Linked DNA regions of Canis lupus familiaris. The protein of the gene in region 1 purifies or fractionates together with the protein of each later gene. This does not show direct contact. Links are inferred from orthologs where the notes say so. Each region holds a gene or a part of one and is shown on either strand. Other genes may lie near its edges.

The links.
Region 2: the proteins of STK3 (region 1) and SLMAP purify together in Homo sapiens (affinity purification with western blotting; 3 studies listed by BioGRID and IntAct, with this or other methods). This does not show direct contact. The link is inferred for Canis lupus familiaris from reciprocal best matches to the Homo sapiens genes STK3 and SLMAP.
Region 3: the proteins of STK3 (region 1) and RASSF6 purify together in Homo sapiens (affinity purification with mass spectrometry; 4 studies listed by BioGRID and IntAct, counting the BioPlex papers as one, with this or other methods). This does not show direct contact. The link is inferred for Canis lupus familiaris from reciprocal best matches to the Homo sapiens genes STK3 and RASSF6.

The regions. Positions count from the first base shown.
Region 1 is NC_049234.1:1,023,522-1,030,353, reverse strand, and holds the start of STK3 (serine/threonine-protein kinase 3), read left to right. Parts: upstream 1-2,509; 5' UTR 2,510-2,699; coding exon 2,700-2,725; intron 2,726-6,832. UniProt on the Homo sapiens protein: Stress-activated, pro-apoptotic kinase which, following caspase-cleavage, enters the nucleus and induces chromatin condensation followed by internucleosomal DNA fragmentation.
Region 2 is NC_049241.1:32,992,360-32,999,339, reverse strand, and holds the start of SLMAP (sarcolemmal membrane-associated protein), read left to right. Parts: upstream 1-2,628; 5' UTR 2,629-3,307; coding exon 3,308-3,505; intron 3,506-6,980. UniProt on the Homo sapiens protein: Associates with the striatin-interacting phosphatase and kinase (STRIPAK) core complex, forming the extended (SIKE1:SLMAP)STRIPAK complex.
Region 3 is NC_049234.1:63,355,515-63,361,733, reverse strand, and holds part of RASSF6 (ras association domain-containing protein 6), read left to right. Parts: intron 1-65; coding exon 66-163; intron 164-1,843; coding exon 1,844-2,028; intron 2,029-4,741; coding exon 4,742-4,843; intron 4,844-5,177; coding exon 5,178-5,229; intron 5,230-6,219.

The DNA.
Region 1 (6,832 bases):
CACTTATGACATAGATATAACTACTTTCAGTGGTAGTTTTAAGTTTTTAAAATTTTTTTTTAACATTTTATTTTATTTATTCACGAGAGACACAGAGAAAGGCAGAGACACAGGCAGAGGGAGAAGCAGGTTCCCTGCGGGGGGAGCCCAGTGCAGGAGTTGATTCCAGGACCCTGGGCCTGGCCAAAGGCAGATGTTCAACCACTGAACCACCCAGGTGCCCAGTTTTAAGGGTTTAATGAGATAATGTTAGCCAATTGTCTGACCCTGTTAGAATCATACACCAGTTGCTAGCACTCTTCCTTTTCAAACTGAGGGAAGGCCCCAGAGATTTATTTTCTGATATTATTCCTTCCTTCCTTCCTTCCTTCCTTCCTTCCTTCCTTCCTTCCTTCCTTCCTTCCTTCCTTCCTTCCTTCCTTCCTTCCTTCCTTCTAGATTATTTCTAAACTTCTTAAAGGGTATCTCAGTCAGGGCTCTATTAGGACGGTTGAGGTCTAGGGGAACATAGGAAATAGAAGAGGGACCAAGGGAATAGCAGGGCACTCACTACCTGTAGGCCCAAAGGGATGAGGGGAAGAAATGAAAGCTGGGCTCCAGGTGACCTCACTGGAAGGGAATCAGGAGAATACGTAGCCTTACTTTCTCCCTCAGATGATCTCTTGCTGGGTCTTCCTATTGTAAGCCAGAGAGTTGAGAGCTCCATAATGTCAGCCATATAGGTCAACCCTTAGGGCACAGGGCAGATGGGAAAGAATGGAGAATGAATCTGGGGGGCTAAGGAAGTTATCCAACCTTACTATATCCAAGGTACCTGCTATGCAAGGGATAGAGAAGGTAAACATAGTCTAATTCTCAGCAGACTCATGGCTGGAATGATAGTCAAACAGAACTTTAATTTAGTACAACCAGCACAGTGTGTTATGGGCATATAGATGAGAGGCATCTCTTTCATAACTTAAATGTCAGAGATAGTGGGGGTGGTGGTGCTGGTGGTTTGACTGGGAAAGTCTTTCTGGAGATTAAGATTCATAGCATAATTCAGAGTCCATTTTAAAGTATGACAATTTGATCCCATTTTAAAATATGACAATTTTTAAAGAAGATTAAATGCTGTTCTCTGAAAGATTTTTTTGATGAAATAGAAGAAGATGGGACTAGGGCATGGAAGTGAGGATGAGAAGTGAGGGATAGAATGACATAATTTCAAAAGTTTTTCCTAGTTTTTGTGTTTTAATAATTTAGCTTTTTGCTGTCTTGTTAGTTCTGAACTATAAGTCCGTCGATGTTTAGTAAATGAAAAGGAGTATAAAATTTTATAACAATCTCTTTTTTGCAGAACCTGACTTCAGGGTTCAACAACGAATGGTCTTAAATTTAACATAACTAAATTTAATGGGGAATATAGTGCTTTGAAAAATAAATCATGTAAGTTTATTACATATGGAAACAATGCAAAAAAGAGGAAAACGACTATTAGACAAGTCTAATTTGGATTAATATTCACAAAGTTCCTTTATTTAACATTCTCTTCATAGACTTTGCTCTAACCTTCAAGAAACCTCTATGACTCTACACCTGGATAATTTCTAATGAAAGCAAACTCATTACATAGCACCTTAGATGATCATAAGAAAGATATTTATATACGGAACTTCATGTTAAATGGTATCCTAAAAAGATAGATGCAGGAAGGGATCAAATCACAATGAGGTCAGGGCCTTCGGAAAAGGTTGGGGGAGACAGGTGACAAGAAGGAAGAGAAACTTTTCTTGACTTCTTTTCTGTGCACCATAATTTGTTTTAGGTTTTCCAGGTGATCCAAGCGAACAGCTGGCAAGACCACAGTGCATGAAATCTGTGCACTGGGATCTCACCGCAGTCCTAATTTTCTTTGTAATCAGACGTAATTATAGCGAAATGTAGTGAGGAGTTTGTCCACAATCAACATCAAACAAGAATTTCCAGTAGTATCCCTCGTGCTGTAGCTACAAACGTCAAACCGGGCGGGCGTAAAACACAGCCCATAATTATAAACAACTAGAGACAGAAGCGTGGGCAGTTAGTGACACTTCAAAAGGCTGCACAAGATGCTTGGGATGTGTCTTTGGGAAATCCAGAGAAGAAATGAGTCAAATAGGATTGGGGCAAAAGCCAATTTTCGGAGGCAGATGCGGAGCGGCAGCTCTCAGCGGCTCCAGGGAAGGTGCATCCCCCGCCCCCGGCCAGCACAGACAGGCCCCGGGTCCTAACTAGGCCTTGGTCCGCGGGTCTCCGCGCCCTTTTTCCGCTCGCAGCTCGGGGGCCGGCGCTTGACTCCGCCTCCGCCTCGGCCTCGGCCTCCGCCTCCGCCTCGGCCCCGCCCCCGCCCCCGCCCCCGCCCCCGCCCCATCAGGGCCCGGCTCCGCCCACCAGCCTGGGCCGCCGCTGGCTCCGCCCACTCTCCCCGGGCGGCGGAGGGGCGGGGCTCGGCGGAGGGGCGGGGCTGGGCGGGGCTCGGCGGGGCGGGGAGGGGCGGGGCGCGGAGGCCGCGGCGCTCGCGAGCGGGAGGAGGATCCGCCGCGGACTTACGGGAAAGTTGGTCCGAGTTCCTGGAGGTTTTCCCCGGGGACTCGGGGGCTCGGCCGGCCGGTGCCCGGCTCCTGTCCTCCCTGCGTCCTTCAGCGCCCACCGGGGCCGTTCCTCTGTCGCCGGCCGCCATGGAGCAGCCGCCAGCGCCCAAGAGGTAACGCTCGCGGGGAGCCGGGAGCCGGGAGCCGGGAGCCGGGAGCCGGGAGCGGAGGGAGGGCGGGGGGGCCGGCGGCCGCGGGCGGGGGCGGCTAGGCCCGAGCTGGCGGCGACCCCTCCGCGGCGGCGGGGCCCGGGCCGGGCGCGTCGGCCGTCGCGAGGCGGGGCCGGGCCGCGGCTGCCCCCAGGCCCGGGGCGCCGCGGGGAGGCCGAGCCTGGCGTCTGCCGCGGCGGCCGGGCCTGGCGGCGTGGGGAGTCGCTGGGGAGTCGCTGGGGAGCGGCTGGGGAGCGGCTGGGGAGCGCCGGCCTCCCCGCCGCGCTCCTGGGCCTCTTCCTCCCGGCGAGTCTCGGAGCCCGGGACGCGAAACGGGGCATGCATTAGGCTGCTCGCAGCCTTCTCGGCGCTTTTGTCCAGTGTTTCTCGTGATACTGCCATTTATTTGAGAAGGCGGATTATTTGTTTCCCGTCGAAGGAATTCCGTAGGAACAGCTACGTAGTGTGTGGACCTTGAGGGTGTACCGCACTGACAGGTGTTCCTTCCTCACCGCCCTCAAGTTCAAAAGTATTTATGGATGCGAGACAGTAGGAATCCTAAATTAGAACCCCTTCCCCGCATAGTGCTTTGTTTTGTTTTCTAGCATATAGAAGTAGTGATGCTTTGGTATTTACTGTTAGTTTGATCTTTGATATATTGGAAGAGTGAGAGTACACAGTAGATACTTTTAAAAGTAGTATTTGAAATGATCAAGCTAAATCAAGGCTGCCCAGAGATATAAATTCATAATGTGCATCTTTTTTCCCCCCAAGAATGAATCAACGTCATTTAACTGGTGTTGTTTAAAACATGTAATCTCAGTCTTTCATTTGTAATTTATAAAATAAGAGTACTAATCTTTCTCCCAGAGAGTGCTGTTGTGAAGATTAAGGAGTTCCTGTGTTCTGATACTTAGAGATCTTTAGACGAAAGGTGATATATTCAGGAACATGGAATAATTAAAAAGGTAGGAACTTTGTGAGCTGTTGTGAATCGTGTGACTAGACATGTGAGCCTTGAGGCCTGGAAACCATCTGTTCAGGTGAAAAAAGGTGGGTGTGTGGAAGGGCGTCCAAAAGAGACTTGTTATCAGAGCCCTTGATTTTTGTCTGGTATTTTGTATTGAATTCTCGTATTGATTGGGCACCCAGTTTTAGTATCTTAGAAGAAAATTGGAAACTTTTTTTCTTCTCTGTTTTGGAAGGACTGTAAGGGGGCCACCTCTGAGATGATGCCCAAAGGTCAAGTTGAACAACTCCAAATTGAAGTAGAAGCTCTATTCATTCATTGGCTGTAAATTATCGGTTTCTTTATAGGTATAAGAGATCCTCTGGCCTTGCAGGGGCTCTAGAAAACCTAGAAGGGCCAGGGGGAGATGTGGGTGGTATATATAACCATTTCATGGTCATTTATACTTTACAAAGTGATGCTTGCACTCCAACAGGCTCATTTTTAGTTCTCTTCAGACAGACTTCGTTGTTCCAGGAAGGCATTTCTGGAAAGCAAGCTATGTGACATTAAGCCCATATATTTGAATGTCACTTAAATTTTTTTCATAGCATTTTCATTTTCATAATATCATCATAGCAACCCTATTACGTAAGTTTGATTACAGGAAGTAATCCTGTTTTGTAGCTGAGGACACAAAGAGTTTGCTCCATGGAAGGCTATGACAGGGATTACTGAAAGTGAGTTTTTGTGTCCTCCCTATTGATTATTACCTTCTAATAATAAAATATGCCATTTTTGAGGTCATTTTTTCCCCCAGGAAATTTGTATATGCATTCCTTTATTTTATTGTCATAAGAAAGAGGAATCATGGCTCTGCAGCTTATTACGCTAGTTCTAAATTTAATTTCTTCATCTGTAAAGTGTGTTACGGGGATTAGAATAGGTCATGTGTAAAAGCACTTAGCACAGTGCTCCATAATGTGTTGAACGACGCTAAATGTTGGTTTATTTTTTCCTTATTAAATGAAACTCAGAGAGGTTAAATAATTTGGTCAAGTGGAGGAGTTGCCAGAACCCTGAATCTGATTGGCTGCAAAGGCTGTGAACCCTCTCATTGTGTACAGTGATACCTCTTTTTAAAAACACTTCTTTTAGCCTTCCATGGTGTGGTGGCCATGTCTTTGTACGATCCTGTGGGCCCTCTGCTTGTTCTTTTCCTAATCCCTGTAAGAATGTTGCTTTGCTTTTCTGCCTTGCATAGGAGCACTTCCTTAGGGCTCAGACATTTTTACATGGTCACATTTATGTTGCTGATGTTCAAGTCTGTATGACCAGCAGGTGTGTTCAGTTGGAATATTTGATATTTTTATGCAGATCCATTCTTTCATTATTCTTTCTAGTTTGTCACTAAGTCCTATTGAATTCTCCATCAAGAAGTCTAGATTCATTTTCTTTTCTGTTTTTCATTTTTGATACTACTACTCCATACCTGGGTTTTATGACCGTCATACTTGATTTACAGCAATGCCTTCCAACTAGGTACTTTAGGGCAGTGGTTTAAAAAATTTTTTAGCAGGAAGGCTGTGTTTGGAGTAGAGGCAGGCACTAGGACCTGGTTCTCACTGCCTTATCTCCTTCTACTCCCCTTTTGCTGCCTGCAGAACCTCCTAATGATCCATAGGACACTGCCTGCAATGGCTTTTGATTTGTTTTCTTAAAGCATCACTTTCACCATGCTATTCCCTTTAAAAAAATTTTTTTTTTAATTTTTAAAAATTTTTTGGTTTGGGGCACACTTGTTTACTTAGTATCCAAGACCCCTATCACTTGGTCTCAGATTTAATCCCCAGGCTTTTGTTATTCTTCTCCAAGATGAATCTGTCCTGAAGTTTCCCTTTTGTTTTTTATTTAGGTTGTAGGGTATGGGTACTCCCAACTTTGCCTTTGTTCAGGCTTTTCCTTTGGAGAAGTTTGTATTATTTTTTGCTACGAATCTGTGTTTTATTCTTCCTTAAAGGCCGGCTTCATATAGAATCTTATTTGAGTGCTTTCTAGCCTAAGGTATTCCTAATATATCCATTTGAATATATGCCATCTTCATATTTTTCTTTTTTTTAATTACAAAATTTTAGCTATTCAAAAGGTAATGGGGACTAATTTAATAACTACTTATGTATTATGCTACCCAACTTGAGAAATAAAATATTGTGAATATAGTTGAAGGTCCCTAAGTATATCTGTTTTCAGATACATTCCCTCCCTATCCCCCAAAGGATTGTCACTACTTGGGTATTTGTTACTGAGTATTTGTTATTCCTTTACCATACATGTCTTTATATTTTTAGCATGCCATTCATGTATATCTGACCCAGTGTTAGGCCTGCCTTTGCTCTTTGGTATCGTTCTTGTCCTCTGGGAATTGGAGAGTCCACTGGGCAGCCAGATCTGAGAATTGTGACTAGAGGGTCTGGAAGGCCGCTCTTACCTTTACATCATTGATTTGGTCTCACCAACAAGGCTGTGTGGTCACTTAAAGTCACTGACTTGAGGTATCAAAATAGCTTTTAGATTCCCTGGGTTTCCTTAACGGATCTGTCACAGAGGTCCCCTTTGGGAATGGAAGACTGTTCAATGGTTATTAATTGTTAGCATTTTGGTAAGTTGAATTTCTCAGATTTTTTTGTAGGGGAACTACTAGATGGAGGAAAAATGACCCCACAGCAGGTAAGTTTTAACAGATAGAAGAGGGAATGTTGGAAGCATAAGATTTCTTAAAAGGCGGGGGTGGAGCTCTGTGATAGGTGGTGGGTAGCATGGAAACTGGTTGCTTGAGGATAGGTAGTTATATAAACAATATTTGTTAGAGGATAGAATATCATTGCTGGAGAGATACACTTTACCAGATGGGCTTTGCTCCTCAGTTTGATTATAGGATTAATAGTTACTTAAAATTTAAAAATCGTTAAAGTGTACTTGGAGGAAAAGTTGGTGTGGAACAGTGAAAACACTGGAAGGATAATAAGAGAGTAAGCTACTGAAATTTATTCTCAAGACAGATAAGGAAAGTTCTTTGATTTAAACCATGGTTGGATTCTTTGCAATTTTTTTTTCTTTTATAT
Region 2 (6,980 bases), on another chromosome or scaffold:
GCTTCACAAGCACTGAGTAACATAGAATAATTGAATCACTACATTGTACACCTGAAACTAATACAACACCGTATGTAAACTATACTGGAATTAAAACTTAAAAAACAAACTACTCTGCCATGCTCCCATTACTCTTGATATACTCTGACAGCAAGTATTTTACTATGTCATCACCTAAATTGTGAGCAGCTTGAGGGAGTCACAGTTTTTTTCACTGTTGTAGGGCTTTTCAAAGTAGCTGTTTTCCAGTCGGCGTCCAATTAAATATTTATGGCATGGACAAATGAAAGTAGGCACAAATAACATAAATTCATGCACAGAACTCATTAGGGATTTGTGGAGGGGCCTTTATTACTTTGTTCTACATAAGCCTAAAAGTTACCAGAAATGAAAACTTTTCATCTTCTTATATTAAAACTTTTCAACATAGCTTTATTTATTTATTTATTTATTTATTTATTTATTTATTTCCCAGAGTAAAGAACCTGGAACACAGTAGTAGTTCAATACCTATTTGCTGAACTAGTGGAGTCCTAGCAAAGTACACAAATACACAGGGTCTCTATACTTTATAATCGAATGCATATTCTTTTCTCCAGACCCACTTTGTGCCATCCCTACTTTATCCTGTGATGAGTTACAGTATGTAATTTTCATTCATGCATCAAGTATTTATTGTCACTATTATGTGCCAAGCATATGGGTCCACTGTTTCGAATAGCTTTGTTCCTTTCTCGCTAGTCTCTCTCCCTGGAAATTTAAGAAGCTCTTCAGCAAATACTGCATTGACCGTGGTTTCCCTACCTTCCTTCAGTTCAGTTACCTCCCCCAGAAGGCCATCCCTGTGATACCTCTAGTACTCAGGGCTTGCTTCCATCTTGGCCCTCATTACATCAGAGTGAAACCATCTGTGTCTATGTTTGTCCCCTCCCCCCCATCCCCATCCTACAAAACCCGAGGTGCGGTTTCAGGGATTGAGGTTTTTTGTTCACTTGTGTCCCCAGGGCCCAACACACAACTTTAGGACAGGTAAGAAACGGCCCAAACCCTAGATCCCACAATAACAAGTGAGTTACCCATGATCTCCAAGTTATATAGATGAGAAAAGGAGGCTTGAAAGGGTTTAGCAAAGTTTCAGAAAAAGCCCAAGGTCACACAGTGGTAGAGCCTGTTGTCAGAGCAATTTGAAGAATGAAGCCACCCTTGGTTCATAAATGAATAAAACTCCTTCCCACCATATCTTTTCTTGAAAAGTTTTCCTTTAGACCTCTGGAAGTAACACGATTTTAAACTTTCTGAACTCACACTCTTTCCGGGGTAGAATATGCTTTGGAGTCCTTGGGGGTGCGTGACAGGTCCCAAGAGAAGAAGGGCCATTCGAAATGGAATGCGGGGACTAAGTTTCTCTCTGAGGAGGATTCACAGAAGACTAATTTTTGATGCACAAGTCCTGAGACTTGTGGGAATTTGGGCACACCTAAGGCGGCGGTACGGGACTGTGTTGCCCACAGCTAAGATGACTGCAAATGAACATCTCCTTCGGATGGGTCTGCTCTCTTCGTTCATGGGTATTTTCACTGAGAAGTATAGTGAATACAATTTAGCAAAAGTTGGGGTCTTCTAGCCGAGCTGGTAACGTAGGAAGCTGGCACGTTTTGTCCGGAAAACCTTCAACAGGTCCACTTTTCCCCTGCCCTTAACAAAAATGGCCGTAAGGGTTGTCCCCAGGGTCTGAAGCTCCCAGCCCTTAACTAACATGGCGTCCGGAGGCGCGTTAAAAAGGAGCTTGCCCTCTCTTCTGCCCTTGACCATCATGGCCTCCGTGGCGTCGAACACGTGACGACCCCGGACTACGGCGCGGGAGAGGGGGTAGGAGGGCCCTTGAAGGGTGCGCGTTCCCGTGGCGGTGCACCGGGTAGGTTTCAGTCAGAGTCACTATGGCGGCCGGCGCTGGCAAGGTAAGCTGAGGCGGCGGCGGCGGCCGGGGAGGCTGGACCCGTCGTGGCGTCCGGGCCTTAAATCCCCGCAGCTTGTCCGCGGAGAGGTCGGCCGAGGTCGTGGCCCATCGCAGGGACTGGCGGGGGAGGGGGGGGGCGCGGGTGGAAGGGGGTGCGGGCTGAGGCGGGCGGGCACCGGCGCCTGACGGCCGTTTGTTTTGATGTTTTCCCCACCAGGTCGGAAAGTTTCCTGCCTTGTCGGGCACAGCCTGAGCCTGCCCCACCGGCCGCGAGTGGTGGAGGCTGCGGCGGACCCAGCCCGGGGCCTCCAGGCCTCTCCCCCAATCTCCGGGCCAGCCTCCCTCCCCCACCTTCTCGTCCGCTGGGAGCCGTGGCCGCCGTCCCTGAGATGCGACCCTCGCGGGGGCAACCCTGAGACAAGGCGGCCGGTGTGCTGAGCCACTGCCCGGAGCCCAGGCGTCCAGGCGTCCAGGCGTCCAGGCGCCAACTTCCTGCGGGCCGAGACCCCCGAGCCTCCCCGGGCGTGCGCCTCGCTCGCTCCGCACCGGCCTGCCCAGCCGGATCCCCGCCCTGGGCGCGGGGACGCCCGCCAGGTGCCCGGGAGTCCCGGCTCGGCCGCTGCCCGCGCCTTTGCCTGTCCCCGCGCCTCGCGCCGAGGACCCCAGCCGCCGCCGCCGTCTCGGCTCGTGCCGGGGACCCCGTGCCAGCTCCCGGGCGGTCCTCCGCGCAGCAGGAGCCATGCAGACCGTCCCGCTGGCGATCTAGACCCCCTCGCCGCCCCCCTCGGCCCTGCCCTTCCACTCCCGAGGCCCTTGAAGACGGGCGGTGGCTGCCCAGAGGTGCTCGGCGACACCTTCCTTCGCCCCGAAAGGACCTTCCTGGCCGCACGGAACCGACCGTTCCTTCATGCTGCAGTGCTGCAACGTTTCCGCCACCGAGGGGGAAAAGCGGCCGAGATCCCAAACAAAACACAAGAACTGGCGTGTGACTCATCTGCTTGGATACCTCCAGCCCCCAAACTGTCTTCCAGGAGTTTTCTTGGCCGAAGCTGTCTGATGTTCGAGCCTTCTCTTCCCAGGGAAGAAGATGGACTGAAAGCTGCCAGTTGGGGACTTTGTGCGATCAGGGCGCTGCTGAGTTTTAAAGGAGGTGATGGGGCTTGCGCTGGCTTGTCTTCCCACTCAAGTGAAGAGTTGTTGATGTTCACTGGTTATGCTTAGACAATGCGCAGTTTGTTTTAATTTAAAATTTTGGGGGGGATAGGAAGATAGGCTTGTGAAGGGCAGTCCGGATCCGGTGGAACTCCTCTTTGTCCTCTGGTAGGAGAGACACCCCCCAGTCTGTCCTCGATGCCGTCAGCCTTGGCCATCTTCACTTGCCGCCCGAACTCGCACCCGTTTCAGGAGCGCCATGTCTATCTGGACGAGCCTATTAAAATCGGCCGCTCCGTGGCCCGCTGTCGACCGGCGCAGAATAATGCTACCTTTGATTGCAAAGTGCTGTCAAGGAACCATGCTCTCGTCTGGTTTGATCACAAGACGGGCAAGGTAATGTCACCGTATTATCTAACAGTCTTTCCTTTTCGTTTCCCTTTGCTCCTTTTGCATAATGTATGCAGAATCCCAGCGTTTGCACCCAAGCGAGGCTTTTCAGCAAGGCCGTGGAAACCAACTTTGTGTGTGTCTAGTTCTACTGGAAGTTTAGTTGAGGTGGTTGAATGGAAAACAGAGAAGGTATTGTAATTAAATGCCTCGGGAGGGCGATGGCATCTTGATAATGTGGTCCTTCCCAGTGAAATCCCAAACCCTAATTCATTTTGGGGAGGGGGGTGGAAACTAGATAGTGAAACTTGGCTTCTCGCTTCCAGTCTTTTTAGAAAGGTGAATTTGCCGTTCAGGGCTTGAGTAAGCAAGCAGCAGTTCCCAAAGCAATGCAGGGAATCTATGGTCAGTGTTAACACTGAGGCTCAGGTGTCTCAGTGGTGAGATGTAGTTAACACAGCTTTTAGTTGAGTCCAGATTGGGGTCTTTCTAGGAAGGACAGATGTTTGTGTAAACTTAACATTTTTGACAGATTTGATACGTGTATTTACCCACGAAGGAGTAATTTGCAATTTTCAAAGCCAATTTCATTAAGCATAAACAACTGTAACTTTACATTTTCAGAGTTTTGTTTGCAGCTTGAGTGAACAGACATATATTGCTTTTGAAAATCACTTTTTGGCATTCCCTGCAAGAACTTATTAAAAATACCTAATGCATACTTACAGAGGAGATACTTAAAAAAATCAGTGTTAGGAAATTAATTTATTTTCTGAGATTATATCCAATTGTATCAAATACTGCATTACCTAGATGGGATAGGATGAATTTAATGCTCTTTAAGTGTGACCCTTTTGCATTTTTGTGTTGGCACCCTAATTTCCTTACCTGTAGGTGCTTATATTTTAAGAATAGAAGAAAACAAATAAGTCCCTTTCAATTTTAAGAACTTTTTATGTGTGTGGAGAATATACTAAAAAAAACTCATTTTTGTGCTTTTACCTCGGGTTTTAGTTGAACTACTGAATCAGTTCCAACTTTAGAGTAAGTTATGTAAGACTAATAGGAATACCTTGGGTTTCACCTCCTGACTTTTCCCTCCCTCTTTGAGTTAAATGATTATGTCTTTTTTAAAAGAAGAATTTAAGTTTTCAGTAGTAGTATTTTGAAATGAAAGAGACCTGAGCCTCAGAAAAAAAGAGAGAAAGCAATACTTCTGTTGCTACTGAATTAAGGAATTATTATATAAATCATTTTTCAGGAAAGGAGGAAAAGATTGTGCTTGCATAATACCTATGCCCTACTCTGTGTAGGATGAGAACTGAAAAATATGTTAATTTTTCTGTATAACACCAGATGTTCACTTACCTATGGAACAGACTCTTTTTTTTCTTCCCTGGAAACTAGAGTTTGGGTGTCTGAAAGACTTCATAGATTACCCATAATCATTTAAAATGAGTATTCATAGAACCCATCTTTCTAGCTATTAAATTCAAACATCAATTAACTGCTAGTGCCCTAACTCAGCCAGCTTTTTTCTTGTCTAAGCAAAGGTCCAACTTAATCAAATAATAGGTTTGCTTAAAGTACATAATCTGCAAATGCACCTGCTTTACTTTGGTACATTACTCAAAGGAGACTTAGATATTTTCTATTACTTATTTAAAAAATAGTGATTACGTGAACAGTAGTGCTTTTCATGGCTATACCAAAACCCCCACAGTAAGGTTATTCTGTGATGGCTAAGGCTAGATCCATATTGAGTATTGTATAAATTGAGATGACATGTTAAAAAAAATTTTTTTTAAAGATTGTATTTATTTATTCATGAGAGACACAGAGAAAGAGAGAGGCAGAGACACAGGCAGAGGTAGAAGCAGGCTCCCTATAGGGAGCCTGACGTGGGACTTGATCCCAGGTCTACAGGATCAGGCCCCGGGCTGAAGGCGGTGCTAAACTGCTGGGCCCATCAGAGCTACCCACATGTTAAAATTTTGAATGTAATTTGTAATTAGAAAAACTTATTTTTTAAAGATACACAGCTTATTTCCACCATTTTCACTTTTTTTTCTGCTCTAGCTAAAAACAGGATATGAGACCATTACTTTAGGTATAAATATAATTATTGATTATTGTACAACCTAATTTGTTAAAACAACCTATCAGGTTTTGCCATGTGATTGAATTGTTTTAGGAATTATTTAAAATTTAGATTTGAACAGACAGGTTTTTATTGAGCACCTATTATGTGCCAGATATCCTGAGGTACACAATTCCAAAGAAAACCCTCAGTTTGATCAAATATCATTTACTGTTTTTTATGTGTGAAATTTCCAGTTTGAGGATTTCTGCTATAATTGTCTCTTGACAAATAAGTCATTGAGCCTAATATATATTCCCAGCAAATTCCTTTATACAACACCAGAATCCCCAACTATAAGCATCACCTCAGGCAAGTTTTTATTTTTCAAACATCTCTAAGCCTTAGTTTTCTTTTCTGGGAATAATAGTGGTACCTACTATTGTTTTGAGGATTGAGATAATCATGTAAATTACTTAGCACCCTTTTCGTGGCCCTTATTAAGGGCTTAATACTTAGGAGGGTGTTTGAGGTGGTAGGAAGAGGGATTCATCTAGGCAGCTTTTTGCAATTTGCTCTAGTGCTGTGGAGTCTTAGGAAGGTAATGAGAATTGTTTTTCTTTCTTAAGAAAGAAAGTTTTTCTTTCATATGTGATAGCATATGTAGAAGTAATCTTTTAAATTGAAACATATGAAGTTGAGAACTTTGTTCAAATTGACACTTTCCCTGGGAGGTGGAAAATTGGAGTAATATACCTTTCTGATGACTTTTACCTAATGGTTTTTGCATTCTGCACTGGCCATTGTAGGAGACCCATTAAAAGTTGGAAGAAGTAATAGATGCTGAAACTTTCTGATTATTCAAGGAATACATATTCACTGCAGAAAAGCTGCAAAACATAGGCACATGGAAATCTAGGGCACATTTTTTGGTGCTAAGTTTGTGGAATGTGTTATGGTACTGAAAACCTGCAGGTTGGAGGGTGACTGTTTTGCCACAAAGTGGAACTCAATAAGCTTTCCTAAATCATCTGCTCAGGGGTGTAGGAGTCCATTATTGCCCTGCTTGAATGCTGCCTCTCTGAATCATTCTTCACTTCTTTTGGGAGGTCAAAATTAGATGGCAGATAATAGAATAGTTATTAGTCCTTTTGTTGACCAAGGGTACCACTGAACAAGCAAATCTGCCTGTATGGTGGTTACATAGAAGGTGTAGTGAGTAGACTGCCTTCTTCTGATGGTCCCACCTGATTCGAGGCTTTGTAGGCACATAATAATCTAGTGCTTGATACAGTAGTCCATTTCCACTCTCATTATAGTTTACATAGTAATTAGTAATACGTGGTAGTAGTATTCTACTTTTAGCTTCACATTTTTACTTAAATTCAAAACATATTTTTG
Region 3 (6,219 bases), about 62 Mb from region 1:
TGCTATAAATCTGAAAACCATTATGAATAGAACTGATGTAATTTACATGATTCACTACTTTTCAGGGGAATGACACGCTGGGGGGAGTTTGACGATCTTTACCATATTAGTGATCTGGATAGGACCCAGATTCCAGAGCCTGAAGCAACAGTTTCCCAAGGAGGTAAGTATCAAACTCTTATTAATGGAGAGACCTCTTTTTTAATGTAAAGCATGAATCCTAAAAGTTTCTCTGATATTTAGCATTTTGCGCACCACTATTTAATAAAACTTTTATATTAAAAAAAACTCTTAGGATCATATTAAGTCACTACAATGCTCATATGATATTTAAGAACTTTACTATATAAAAATATGATGATTTTTATTTATTTTTCAAGATTTATTTATTTATTTGAGAGAGAGAGCATGATGGGGAGGGGCAGAGGGAGAGAAAGAAGGAGAGAAAGATGTCGAGGAGACATCCCACTGATCACAGTGCCCCACACAGGGCTCCACCTCATGACTCTAGATCATGACCTGAGTGGAAACCAAGAATCAGATGCTCAACCAACTGCACCACTCAGGCGCCCTACAGCTATTTTCAAAATTACACCAACTCACTTAGATTTATTAGATTAGGGAAAGCTAATGAATTGAATAAATCTGTATATGTAAAATTCTTCAGTATTTTCCCTAGGGATTAGGATCATTTATTATACTCAGTAGTTTTTTATGTTAGACCAATCCCCTCAGACTGAATTCTACATCTTTTTAGAAGGTGAATGTTTTAGTTAGTTAATAAGTCTTTACATAACACCATTTCCCCCAAAAAAGAGGCAGATATACTGAAATCAGTATATTTGATAGAGTCATTTCAACCATTTCTTTTAAAAAGAGAAATCAACTTAAACATCAAATAAGTTCATATCGAACTCACACAAACCAATGGTAAATGGCAGCTCCTATGACACGTGACATCGGTAGCCACAGTGATGATGTGAAGGTAGTAATATTAGTAGCTACCATTTACTGAGACTCTGCTAAGTGTCAGCCATGATATTGTGTATCTTACATAGATATGGGGAACCAAGAAGGGAGGAGCTGGTGACTGAGGCTGGGGGCAGAGTTTATGTTTCTGGGGTCGTCCTATTACAAAGCTGATTTCAGACTTTTCTCGTCAACATTATCTTATTAATCTACCAACAACTTCCAATGTTTATTTTTTCCAAGCCTTTCTCAACGCAGTTTTTTCTTCTGTCTCCATAAAAACCCACATTCAATAACTAACATAATGTTCCTTCCAAGATTCCCCTATCTTTGATGGCTCTTGGCATCTTTTATATAAAGGTCCTTCTAGTTAGCCTGTTGAAAACATTTCTCTAAACTCAGGGGAGGGATCCCTGGGTGGTGCAGTGGTTTGGTGCCTGCCTTTGGCCCAGGGCACGATCCTGGAGACCCGGGATCGAATCCCACAGTCCGGCTCCCGGTGCATGGAGCCTGGCTTCTCCCTCTGCCTATGTCTCTGCCTCTCTCTCTCTGTGTGTGACTATCATAAAAAATAAAAAAATAAATAAACTCAGGGGAATCCTAATTTCTTGGTATCGAAGATACCATAAAAATCTATTTGTATCCAAGCACCAGTGCTAGAGGAAGATAAAATATCTCAAGACTATTGGATGATACTCTAATTAATTAGGAAATTTTTTAAAATCCCAAAGTAAAACGGAACACTATTTCCTACTGTTTGAAAACATTATAGTTCACTGCCTAGCTATATATTTTCCTATTAAATACATATACAAATCCACCCAAGGAGGTAGGCGGCTAATGATATGGCCCTTATAATCTTTATTCTTCCCAGATTATTTATCTTATCACAGTAGCACTCTGAAGCCTTATGCAGAAGAAGAGCCAGAATCCCCATTGCTCTATCGAACCATGAGTGAAGCAACCCTGGTGAGAAAAAGGATGAAGTCTCCAATGATGGACAGAAAAGAGAGACAGAAGCATAGGGCCTCTATTAATGGGCACTTCTATAACCATGAAGTGAGTCATAATTCCATTAATGTCATTTAAATGATGTCTGTTTTCCTAACAATACCACTCAACTCAACTTACAATTAAAAATAGTAATAAAATAGTAGTAGTGTATCTAACATTTATTGGGTACTCACTATGTGTTAGGTATTAAACTGTTTTAAGTTGGATTCTGATTATCTCATTAATCACTGAAACAATCCTTTGAAATAGGTACCATTATTTTCCCTGCCTGTGTTCACTGAGGCTCCAGAAGTTAAGTAATTTGTCTTAGGTCACAGTACTTTTAAGTAGCAGCTCTGAACTTGAAGCCAGCTTTGTCTGACTCCAGAACCCAAGTATTAGCCGACGTGATGGATGAGCCCTATCTAAGGGTCTGGTTCTGTGCCAAGCACTATAAAGATGGCTCAGTTAATGCCTCTGCCCACATGGAGCTCGGGTCTCGGGCAAGGAAACCAGTACATCAACAAATGGCATTAGAATAATGTAAGGGCTGCAATAGAGAATGGTTCAAAGTACATTTGAACATTAACATTTAAATAAAGAAAAAAAAAACAGCTACAGACCTTTTATTCCAATGAATCAAATTTCTCATCTCACAGCGTTCCTTTCCGGGTCTTGAACATATAGATGTATTTTTTTATGTAAGCGTAGTTATACTTTGGATATAATTTGTATTCTAATTTTTCACTTAATGTTTTAAATTTATGTGTTCCTTTCCACAGTTTTTGTAAGACATTTCACTTTGTTGATGGTGGGAAATAGATCAGAACTGAAGTTTTTCATGTCATGTATTTCAGCAATTATTCATTCATTTAATAAATACTTAAAAAGCACTTATTCTGTGCCAGGTACCATCCTAAGCCCTTTAATACAAAATGTTAACTCATTCATCTGAAGCTTTTTTGCCTTGTTCTTTCTTCTACCCTTGGGAACATATCCAAGGTGCGCCTTTGGAGACTGGTGGGGAGAAACCTCCCTTGTGAATTCTCTGTTCAAATTCAACATTTTTCGGGCTCAAGAATTTCCCCTTAGCCATTGACAGTCCCGCATAGATGTGCAACTACCAATTGCCCTGGTTTTTATTCCTTATAATTATGCTGTGTCATCATCTTGTGGGGGTTGTTGGTGTTAAAGAAGGCTGTAAAGACCTCACTGTTCCAAATGAACAGCCGCCAGCGGGGCCCCCCTGTGCTAAGAATGAAATTGATGAGAAGTTGGCCGCAGAGTATCCTGGTTAAATGCTGGACGGCTGCAGCTTGACACCCTGATTTCAAATTCTTGATGACCGAAGTTAAAAAAAAATACCTCCATCTCTTAGCTTTCGTTCTTTTATCCTTCCTACTTTGCAGGTTGATGGGACTAAATGGAATGAGGTGAGCTAAGCACTGAGCACAGTGTCTGGCACAAAGAAAAACTCAATTTACATTAGTTTCATTTTTGTTGGTTAAAAGAGATCAAGCTGGAACCACACATATGTCATACAGATGCCATTCGCTGCAATTTAATAACTAGCAGAAAACAGAACAAACCCTCAAGCCCCAAAGCACTCCATCGGTGAACGTGCTGCAAGAGGCATCTAGGAGTTTAAGTCGATATAGTCATAAGATGTGTTTTTATGTCACAGAACCCCATGATAACACCAATATTGTTAGGATATGAATAACAGCCATATTAGAGACTTAGATTATGATATTTGTACATAAGTTATGACTATTGACGACCTGTGGTATGCTTCTACCCGTGCAATAAGAAACCATTTTATTCCATTGTGTGTTTTGGCCAAGTAAAACTCTGAAAAACATGATTCCAAGTTCATTGTATGTTGGCACTTTGGAAGGGCTCTTGGAGATCATCTAGTCCCACTCTCTTATTTTACAAATGAAATCCTCGAGGCTTCTTAAGGCCTCAATGTTAAGTGAACTAACAAAGTTGGAGTTAGGAGACTCTATGATCTAGGGCTCTGAGTCTTAATCTAGTGCTGTTGCCAAACTCCATAAATATTTTTCATATAAACAACATAATCATGTATGTAACATACTCTCGCCCTAGTACTAGATGAACACATGGGTCTACAGGACTCCATGGAACTCATAAGCACCAGTCAGATGTTTCACAGAGTGACTCATTAATGCCTCACAATGTGCACAAACACTGAATTTTCTCACACTTAGCAAGAATTTATCCCAGAAATCCTCCATATATCTGCTTCAAAAAGTTATCTCCATACCCATATTTCTATTCACACAGATGTTGTGCATATATGCACTTTGATATTTACTCACTGATTTCCCAATAAAAGGCTCATCTAACAATCCACTGAGCCACCCCAGAGCCCACCCATCTCCATGTCTGCTGAACCGAACTCATTTCTAGAGTCTTGGAACACTATTCATGTTACTTTGCATTTGTGTTTAGTCATAGTTAATTTAATTTAAAATCTTGAACCACATTGAACAATGAGATGGTTATCTAGTGAAAATGTTTCGAACATCCTCAAATGATGTTTTACCCGACTTACTCTAGAAACAAACAATGTAAAGCTGCTTAAAAGGATACATAATATCCCAACAACAAAGAAAGCAAGCACAAAAGAACAAAAGTTTTAAACTGGTGATTTGGGATTTTTTTTTTTTTTCACATAAGAGGGTAAGAAGGCCAGGTTCAACATATTGATTCTTGTTAGTTTGATGTAATGTTAAGAACTTTGTTTTCTTCCCAGACATCGATTTTCACTCCAGCCTTTGGGTCAGAAACTAAGGTCAGAATAAATAGTAATATGAGGACTGAAGAAGTAATAGAGCAACTTCTCCAAAAATTTAAGGTAATCTTTATCACAAAACTGAGCTAGAACTGTATTGGATATAATTTAACTGCAGATACATAAATGCACTCTTCTGAAGAAGACCTATCAACATATGATCTAAATTAAGTTGTTCACTTCTGAAGAATTCTTTCTTAAGTATAACATCTCTTTGTAAATGAGCCTTGAGAAATTACTTTAGCCCTAGTGAGCAGAGCTGTTTTCATGTCTAAAAGTGCAAACTGAGAGTGAGGAAACAGATTATTTGGGTCAGGTTAGTTTAGAAAACATCTGACAATGACCAATCAGTCAAATATGAAAGAATTCATGTACGTTTATTTTTTTGCATTGACAGATTGAAAACAGTGCCCAAGATTTTGCACTTTACATTACTTTTGCAACAGGTGGTAAGTTTGATCACTCTTTTTATATGATTCCAGGAGGTTGTAGTTTTATGTCCACGGGGGAGGCAGAAGACAGTTAAACCTCATTCTGTGGAAGAAAGGGAAAGAAAAGAGCAAGATGGAAACGAGGGAGGGTGTTTTAGAAGATTATTCATATCTCAATTTCAGAGGAAGGATAACTTAAGAATAAGGTATCCTAGAAGAGCTTATAATACAGAAGAGTTCATCTGCTATTTGGCCAGACATTAAATTACCTGAATGGTGGTCAGACCTGGGAGAGTCTGTGGAAAGTTCCCAAGGATTGTTATGCACTGAAGTTGTTGACTTCTATACCTCTTTCTTTTTGACTTTCCCTTCTCATTCTAGCTCTTACTGGAGCCATCAATGCAAACCATCTCTCTCTGATCTTGTTATTACCGCTTTCTTAGCACTGTGTCTGCGGCATTGCAGGAGTGTTCTTTCTCCCTCAGTAGAGAAAAATATGCACAACTTGGTGGTCAGGAGCAAAAGTTTGGCAGCTGGACATTGGGAAGAGGCTACACATGGGGTGCTGGGAGCAGGGATAAAAGAGAGATTAGAGAAAAAGCTAAAGAAATACTAAAATGAAATTTTTAAAAACCCTAAAGCTGAAAAAATTACTTTAAATTGTAGAAATATTTCCGGCTAAAGAGTCAGAGTGTTTGAACAGGAAATTGAACAGAATAAAATAATACTGGGACACCTGGGTGGCTCAGCTGTTGAGCGCCTGCCTTTGGCCCAGGGCGTGATCCTGCAGACCCAGGATCGAGTCCCACATCAGACTCCCTGCATGGAGCCTGCTTCTCCCTCTGCCTGTGTCTCTGCCTCTCTCTCTCTCGAATAATAAAATCTTAAAAATAAATAAAAACAAATAAATTAAAATTAAAATTAAAAAAAGAATAAAATAATACATTTTGATGCCAGGACAAAAATGTAAATGAAAAAAAAATGAAAGTTGGATCTTTAAAAGTATAT